2 linked regions of the Xenopus tropicalis genome follow. The protein of the gene in region 1 binds, or shares a complex with, the protein of each later gene. Links are inferred from orthologs where the notes say so. Each region holds a gene or a part of one and is shown in the gene's direction. Other genes may lie near its edges.

Region 1 (4,519 bases):
ACCACCATGATGCCCGTGTAATCTTGATGCCAACTAATAAATGGGGCTTATGGCGCATGTGTTTTTTTGGACTTAGTGTTTGTCTTGTGTCCATCATGCTCTGCTGTGCCTACTAACTGCCAACTCTTCCTACCTGTACCTGCTGCTCCTTGTGACCCCCACTATGTAAGGGACAGTGTCTGGGAGTCAAAATAGGCCCTGGTATTTCATGTACAGAGAAGCCCAAACAGCCCCCCACTAGCCCAATAAATAGTGAGTGTCTATGGCATCTTACAGCAGCCCCTCTGGCATTTGCCAGAACCCACAGATTGCCAGTCCGGGCCTGAGTGTCACTATTTATATAGATTGTAAGCTCTACGGGGCAGGGACCTCCTTCCTCTTGTATCCTCGACTCTCAACTTATTGCTGCTGTATTTATCTGTATTTATTATTATACTTTGTATTTATCTATTATCTTATTAACACCCTGTTTGTATTAATCTATTCTACTGTACAGCGCTGCGTACATAAGTAGCGTTTTATAAATAAAGATATACATACATACACACATATTTGTACCCTTTCAAGACACAAATTATCTGTACAGTAGAACTTTCCAGCCTTCCTTTGACAATGACTGTATTTTAGATTGTAAGTTCTTTGGTGCAGAGGCTTACTCTTACTTTATATAGCTGGCATTTGCCAGGACCCACAGATTGCCAGTCGGGGCCCGAGTGTCCCTATTTGTACCTTTTCAAGACACTAATCATCTATACAGCAGAACTTTCCAGCCTCCCTTCGACAGTGACAGGATTTTAGATTGTAAGTTCTTTGGTACAGAGGCTTACTTTATATAGCTGGCATTTGCAGAATCCACAGATTGCCAGTCTGAGCCTGAGTGCTGCAATCTGTACCCTTTCAAAGCACTTTTTACCAATCACCTATTCAGTAGAACCTATAGAACCTTCCAGCCTCCCTATAGCAGTGACAGTTACAGGATTGTAAGCTCTTTGGCACAGAGGTTTATTTTCTACTTTGTATAGCTGAATATAATTAGTAGCGCCATAAAAATATTACTTATAATATATTTATAATTAGGCAGTAGAAGATTATTTTTCTCTTGTTAACATTGCCAACCCTATTGCCCAATGGCGATGCAAGTACACAGTATGACATCACTAAAATACTGTGACCTCACCGGTGATCTTAATTTTTTTTTTGTTTGTTTAATGATGAGGGGGGTATGAAGAGAAGATAAATATTAGGAGAAGGAGATGGAAAATGGGAGAGAAAGAGAGCGCACATAGCATAGTAATTCCAATACAAACAAACCTTCCCCAGTCTGTGCAGTGATGTATGCCAAAGTGTGGGGCAGGCACAGGGGGAGGGCCAGCAGGGCTTGGGGAAGGGAGACTGGGCCAGGGGAGAGGAGCTGCTCCAGCATTGGATGAAGGGAGGGATGAAGGCTCAGGTTCCAGACAGAGGGGAGTGACTCAGGGAGGAGGAAGGGGCTGGGAGTGAGGATGAGGAGTGAGGGGGAGGGAGGGAAAAGTCACACAGACTTTCCATTGCCCCTCACACACGGGATCTACACTGGGTTGCACCTCTCACACATCCACTTTTGGGAACTTTCCCTACCTATTACCTTATTGTTTGTGGCTGCACTGCTGCCTGGAAGGGCTTGGCTTGCCTGGATAGCACTTACCGGGATTCCTATGCACTGAACCTTGCGGGATTCATCACTGTGGGACTATCAGGGGATTGGTGATTCACTCAGAGAGAAAAGAAATCACAGAGAACTTACTCATTCACCCTGCAAAGGGGATTCTGCCTGTTCCCCTCTTTGGAACCTCACTGGCTTTGGCTGCTGCTGGTTACCGGGCTCTGAGTCGGGATCGGGACTCGCTCACCCTGCGCTCGGAGGGATACGTATTTCTCATTGGCTGAAACGGGACTTGGGAATCTGTCCCCTGGGACACACGGAGTCTTGCCAGGCACACGCCTGATGCAGGGCTGAGGGGATTTTCTTACACCGCCATCTCTCCAGGTAATGCCAACAAACCCGCAACGTTGTAACTCTAGGAGGGGCTTCTCAGCCTAATAGAACTGGGGTACAGACCCCCACAGGGGATATACCTGTGTCATGTCATTGGTTAAACTTGTCTAAAACTCCTTGCTTTAATCAGGTAATGAGGAAATCGCTGTGCGTAATTGGAAGCGCAATGCGTTAAATTCGCTTTGCCGCACAAAACCGCTGCAGGGTGATGTTTGTTGCATATTTTACTTTATGGTCTTTATTTATGGGAGCAATGCATGATAATGTGGGTTGGTGTTTTAGAACATTTAAAACAGCTTTAGATCGTTATGAATTTTGAAAAACATGGACTTTTGCCCAGCTTGTATTTATTGCTGAAGTGAATGGTACTCAAGTGCCTACAAGAAATTGGGTTTAAATATTAAAGCTTTCTGGCATGTTTGGCCACTATGAGGCGCTATATTATTGGAGTGAGTGGATAATATTTAATTTTACCCCTGCCATGCAAGCTGTGTGGTAGCTCCCAGGATTGATGTTGGAAAGTTGTTGTAGAAGGCGCTATGTCTATGTGTTATTATAATTGTTATAGACAAATGGGATCAAAGCAATCATATTTCCCAAACTAAGAAAAGCTGGTAATTAATGGTCAAACTTGGGTGATAATGGTCAGCCATTGGGCAGCCTACAAGTGAGCGGCTTTTGACTGCCCAAAGCCTGTTGCAGTTGAACAACACCTTGTGTCTCAACCCTTTCTCCTTGTAGATTGTAAGCTCTTTTGGGCAGGGCTCTCTTCACCTCCTGTATCGGTTATTGATTGCTTTATATGTTACTCTGTATGTCCAATGTATGGAACCCACTTATTGTTCAGCGCTGCGGAATATGTTGGCGCTTTATAAATAAATGTGAATAATATGGAGGGCCACTGCGGCCTGCATTATGGTATGCAACAAAGCATGCTTTGCCCCAAGTAGGTTTATGAATGTAACATATAAACATAGGCCCTTGGTCATGACCAGACAGTCTAAATGCCACTCTCACTATTATCTGATGCTTATAGCTTACTGGGGAATTCTGGGAGTTCCAGATCAGCTGGAGGGCTGCAGGCTGGACAAACAACATTGCAGAATGTGGATTTGCTTTTACAGGTTACAATGTTATACCCGTGGGTACCCCTTGTGCAGTAGGGGAGTGCGACTCCTGATTGCTCCTAAATGCTCGCTAAACAATAGGGTCTTTCTTTGTACAGTTATGTATCACAATGGGCACGAATGCTGGAACCCACCGGGTCTGATGGACCGGTTGCTATGTATATGCATAGAGCAGAGCCACAAGCCACATTTACATTTCCACTGTGTACATACGTAGGGCTGGACAAGTAAAGGGTCATGGAACCAATGCAGGATCCATTGCGTGCCTTTGCCCTAGGGTTTGACAGGACTGTTTAGGTGCTAAGATGCTCGAGGGGCCCAGTACAAGGGGCACGGACAGTCTGAGTAGTAGTGTGTATGTACCCTCGCTATGTCTGTGTTTGCATTCATGTACTAACGCTATCTTGTAAAGACTGTTTTATGTAAAATGTCCTGGGGGCAATAATGCACCCCCAGGTCCTCATATTTTGGATATTTGCATGAATATTTTACATGTTCTCCTCCTGCTGAGCCTAATATTGCCTGCCCCACAGCAGCCCCTTCGGCTTTTAATTCTCTTTATTTGTCCTCCTTTATTTTCTACGCAAAACTCGGCAACATCAGGGTTGGGGGGGGTGCTTCCTACAGGTTAAACGAACTGCCGATCCATTAATGACAGGTTTATAGTCTGCATCGGGCAAGGAAGAAAGGGGCTAGGATTCTACCCGTGAGAGAGGCCTGTTAGGTGTTTAGCACCCACACAGCGGGCAAAGCCACAGACGCATTACAGGCCCCTGAACGCAGCCCAACAAAAGCTTCACATTTTGGAAAATTCAGGTTTTCTTTATCATTATAAAAAAAATCCTTGCAAAACATTCCTTTGTCCCACCGGCCGTGAATTCCTAACCCAGTCAGCGTGGTATCTGGTGTTAATCAAGGAACTGACTTGAAGGCTGTTTGTAAAGGGGGAAAAAATCCATCTATAATGTAAAGGTTCCAGGGGCTGCATGTAAAATCCCTGTGTGCCAACTGCTCTTGGGACTGTGCGTTGGTGTTTGCATTTTGTTGTGAAGCTCCATTGTACCTTGGTGTCGGAGCTTGGTCTAAAAAGATAACAACCCTTTTACAAATCTCCGTACTGGATGTGTTAAGTGTGAAAAAGTGCATTGTGGAGCCCTCATTAAATGTACATTGTGTGCTGGAATCTGGGGTGCATACAATGGGGGAATCCGTGGCCAAGAGGGAGGCTGAATTCCTTGGCTTTATATGAGAGTGTACATGGTGCCCCCGCTCATTGTGCGGGTTTAATGGGGGTTGCACTAAAGCCCCTTGATAAGTAGGGATTGAGGCACGGTCTCCCCTTCTGTGGAATCTCAAT
Region 2 (4,552 bases), about 12 Mb from region 1:
TTTTGGTCTTATAACACATTCATTATAGAACATTAATGGACCTGTTGCTTTTCATACTCTAAAGTGCACTAAAGTGTTATGTTTTGCGTATATATTTATTATTTTCTTAAATACGCCTGCATTCTTTGTGAATCTACAGAGAGATGGATAGATAGATCGATAGCTAGCTAGATAGATAGATTATAGATAAAGATAAATATACTTTTATATGCCTGCATTTTTTGTGAATCTAGAGAAATGGATATAGTTAGATAGAAAGATGATAGATAGATGATAGATAGATAGATAGATAGATAGATAGATGATAGATAGATAGATAGATAGATAGATAGATGATAGATAGATAGATAGATAGATAGATAGATGATAGATAGATGATAGATAGATAGATGATAGATAGATAGATAGATAGATAGATGATAGATAGATAGATGATAGATAGATAGATAGATAGATAGAAAGATAGATAGATAGATAGATAGATAAAAGATAGATAATAGATGATAGATAAATAGATCATTGATAGAAATACTTATATTCGCTTGCATTCTTTTTGAATGTATAGAGATTGATATATATATATATATATAGGCAGATAGATAACAGATAGATTAGATGGATATGGGTTAAGCTAGATGGATATATAGACAATTGGTCAGGCCGATTAAACGATTGTAGGTGTACTAGTCCCTCTATAAAACAAATCCACCATCTGCATGTATTAAGCTATGTACATATACACACACTGTGCTTTAACCTTGTTGCAGTCACTTGTTCCCGAACTGCTGAATTAGAGATTTTACCTTTCAAGTGGAAATGGGTAATTGGGGATTTAAATGCCCTCTCTAACCCATCTGTACAATGGAGTGCATCCTGTGAGCCTAGATATACAAGGGGGGTGGTTTCCAGCTCCATCCTCCCACATTTAACCCAGGACAGATGAGAAGGGAGTTTGACATTGGAGAGTTCAGGACAAGAGGAGGGACAAGGGCTGATCGCTGGCAATCACTTCACTTAGTGCTCAATGAGACAGCGGCCAACACACAGACTCACACTCTCTCAGGGCTATCAGGAGGTCTCTGAGCCGCAGCCACTCAGCCAGGTTGTTCTATTGGCCGGTGGGATCGCAGCTTGTGCATAGAAGGAGAAAGCCTTACTCATCAACACTTTCATCATCAGCTCTCACACACCAAGCGCTGCCTTCAGCCCAACACAACGTCATTTTGGAAGCGAGAGAGCGAGAGAAAGTGATCCTCCCAGGTTGGGAAGTAGCTCGCATTCTTACTCTGACTTTGCGCTCTGACTTTGCGCTCTCTCTCTCTCCTGAGCGCTCAAGCTGACAGCGCTGCGCCTACATCTGCGCCTTGGGACCGGGGGGCCGGCACAGCACTGGGACAATTGTCAGCGCATCTCGGCTGTTTCTTTTCTCACTTGGAGGCAAGTGGCAGGGGAGCCGTGTGAGCTCCGCACCAGCTGTAGCGCCGGAGGGATTGTACCGATACGCCAGGGGGCTGCTCTCAGGCTCTCCCCATCACTATCATTACTATTATTGTTATTATCAGCATCATTATTTGGGAAGTCGCTGCGTCTGTTTCGGACAAGGAGTGCAGCGTGTTTCTACTCACCCCCCCCGTCTCCCTGGCTGTGGCTCGGTGCCCTCTCTTCCAGACTCGGCTGCCTGGCCAAGGGGATGGGCGGAGGGAACTGCGGGAGCTCCCGGGACTAGGAAACGGCAGCGCTGCACCTTCCCCTGCTACCAGCCGGGCAGCTCATCGGCCGAGCAGCCGCTCCACTGCAATCCGACTCCCTGGGACTATCGGGCAGCCCGACAGGCAGAGGCACCCAGCAGGGCAGGATGAGCTACATCACCTCCATCCTGGGCTATCTGTAAGTATTGGGGCACCCAGCACCCACATTGCTCCCACTCTGCCCGCACCCTGCTTGCTAACTGGACCTTCTCTTCTATTTTTACAGGTTACTGCACTTGTTTGTCATCTGCCTACAAGCCCAGGTAAATTGAATTTTTATTTTCTATCCTCTGCTACTTGCATGTTAATGTTTTTTTTTTTTCAATTGGCTCAGAGTCAGGTTCACTTTAGACTTTTTTTACTATTATATTTTCTTCCAAAGAGCCGAATTATAATATCAAATCCAAATTCACTGCCAGTCTAATGTGCAGAATGAGCTGCTAAACCAATATTTGGGGTGCCTGGTTCTCCCACTAGATTAGGGGTCACTGGGTATCATTTCTGCAGTACCCACACTTCCCTTACTAGTAATTAGAACTGATCTTACTGGATAAGATTTATAGGGACTTGTCTTTGGATCTGTGCTGTAGGAACCAGCCTTAGGAATGTTAGGGGCCTAAGTTGTAATAATTAAACAAAAAACTCATTATCAGGGCAATATTGTTCTGTGATTTGCTGGGACAGATCAATAGTGGCCCTAACTTATAGATATCAGGGCCAGTAAGGAAACATGGAGATTAAATGCAGAGTTTTTTTTTTTTAGTTATCAACTGTTGCTCTGCTCTGCTGTATATCTATACAGTTCCCATTCATGTGATAATTTAAAATGAAAGGGAGCATCAAACTATGAAGAGCTATTTTAAAAAAGAAAAAGAACTGTTTGGATCTCATAGGGAGAGGAGCAAGAAGCGTATGGCAAGCAGACCTTCTCCATATGTTGCCCACATTGGAGCTGGCATCGGCATCTAAACATATTGTCCATGCAAGAGCTGGAAGAATAGGCTCACCCACCGAAAGAGAGGGTATAAGGAGGGAGAGTGAGGCACCGAGGGGAGAGGGAAGCTGAAATTGTCAGGCCTGTGCATAAAATACTGCAGACTTTGTGAGGTATGGGCTGTTCCTGAGATGTTAAATCTCTGATTTGTTATGGGGATTGCAGCTTGAGCTGGCTCATTGCCCCCAAGGGTGAAAGTCGCATCTTCTTCCCATTTTCTCAGAATATATCTTTATAAATGTCACAGCCAAGCACCCTTCTGTAAGGTTTAAATATTGCTTAGCCTCCCTGCAAGGAAAGCCTTATTCTGCACTGGCATGGCGAGTGTTACACTATGGCTCACTAGTGAACCTTACTCTTGTGCATGTTTCAACTCAAGTGTAAAATTATTTTATGCTAATGCAGCTTATGGCATTGTTTTTCTATATTGTGATCATAAATAGAACCAATAAATGCTTTATCACTAGATGTTGGGCCAGGGAGGTAGGAGAGTAAGGTTATTTCTCAATATATATAGTTGTTAAACTGCAAGTCCTAGGAGATACTGGGAGTTGTAGTCTATCAGTTGTAGTCTTATCCCCCACATCTGAGCAGGTTAATGTGAGTTTCTAAACTGAAATGCTTGTCAGTCGTTTCAGATATTTATAAACCTCCAGCCCATTCCGCACTGCTGAGTAGCAATAACAATCCCAATCAATACAATAGCTGGAGAGGGCCTTGCTCAGAAGAGCTTCCAGTCTAGAAATATTTCCTTCTATTTATCAAACTGAATGACTGCTAATGCAGAGTATACAGGCCATAATGAATAGGCCAGGATACATATTTTGTCCTGGTTTCCTTTTGGACAATGCATTTTGCCCACACAATAAACTGTGTTGGCCGTCATTCAGCTGTATTAAGAAGTATAAATATAATAGCTTGTTTTATATATTTCCTAAAGGTAACTGTTCAGTCCCCACCTAATTTTACACAGCATGTGAGGGAGCAGAGCCTGGTGACCGACCAACTAAGCCGACGGCTCATCCGAACCTACCAGTTGTACAGTCGGACCAGTGGCAAGCATGTGCAAATCTTGGGGAACAAGAAGATTAACGCCATGGCAGAAGACGGCGACCCACATGGTAAGAATACAATTTCATATATTTTTATGTATGATGAGAAGTTTTATATCTGTGTGTACTGCAGGGTGGTCCAGGGAGCAGAATGTGTGCAACAGGTGGGACCTACCTGCAGTTTGGAATGAAACATCATATAATAGGGGATTACACAGAAGGTGGAAGTTATTTGCACTATTTCAAAAACCCATAGTAACCAATCAAACATGTGCTTTAGCACTCAACCAACAAAAGCTAACTTCTCATTGGGTGCTATAGATTTTTGTTCCACTTTGCCCTTGTCTCAGCATAACCTATATAGAGTTAGATACAAATGGTCATTGGGTGTAAAAGTCATAAGAAGTATTTGGTGGCTACATACACTAAGTAGTATTTGTTCATGGATGGAGCTTATTATTTTATATTTGTGTCCGTGCAGCAACTGACGCAGTTCTTAGTTCATATATGCTATTATATATATGTGGTCCTCAGAAAAAATGCAGATTAATGATTAAATAGACGGTTACTCAAGTCCGACCTCAATTGGCCTCTGTCAGTTGTACTAACTGTATTTTTTTTGTCATGGAATGACTAAGTGGTAAACCTAGGTTACATTAGGGATGGGGGTCTAGCTGTGCCCCACTGAGAATAATGTGATTTGTAGTGGGGACAGAGCTGGGAGGCTATCATGTGAACATCCATTCCTGATATAACCT

The links.
Region 2: the proteins of fgfr2 (region 1) and fgf8 are in contact, whole or in part, in a crystal structure (PDB 2FDB), measured with the Homo sapiens proteins. The link is inferred for Xenopus tropicalis from reciprocal best matches to the Homo sapiens genes FGFR2 and FGF8. Residues at the interface, in NP_000132.3 of Homo sapiens: Glu160, Lys161, Glu163, Lys164, Leu166, His167, Ala168, Val169, Pro170, Asn173, Asp247, Val249, Arg251, Ser252, Ser282, Asp283, Ala284, Gln285, Pro286, His287, Ile288, Gln289, Ile291, His293, Leu309, Val311, Leu312, Lys313, Ala314, Ala315; in NP_149354.1 of Homo sapiens: His53, Val54, Gln57, Asp62, Leu64, Ser65, Arg66, Leu68, Ile69, Arg70, Tyr72, Tyr75, Arg77, Gly80, His82, Val106, Glu107, Thr108, Thr110, Phe111, Gly112, Ser113, Val115, Thr148, Glu149, Ile150, Val151, Leu152, Glu153, Asn154.

The regions. Positions count from the first base shown.
Region 1 is NC_030683.2:19,257,973-19,262,491, forward strand, and holds the start of fgfr2 (fibroblast growth factor receptor 2 precursor), read left to right. Parts: upstream 1-1,640; 5' UTR 1,641-2,026; intron 2,027-4,519. UniProt on the Homo sapiens protein: Tyrosine-protein kinase that acts as a cell-surface receptor for fibroblast growth factors and plays an essential role in the regulation of cell proliferation, differentiation, migration and apoptosis, and in the regulation of embryonic development.
Region 2 is NC_030683.2:31,018,255-31,022,806, reverse strand, and holds the start of fgf8 (fibroblast growth factor 8 precursor), read left to right. Parts: upstream 1-1,551; 5' UTR 1,552-1,855; coding exon 1,856-1,887; intron 1,888-1,974; coding exon 1,975-2,011; intron 2,012-3,682; coding exon 3,683-3,863; intron 3,864-4,552. UniProt on the Homo sapiens protein: Plays an important role in the regulation of embryonic development, cell proliferation, cell differentiation and cell migration. Required for normal brain, eye, ear and limb development during embryogenesis.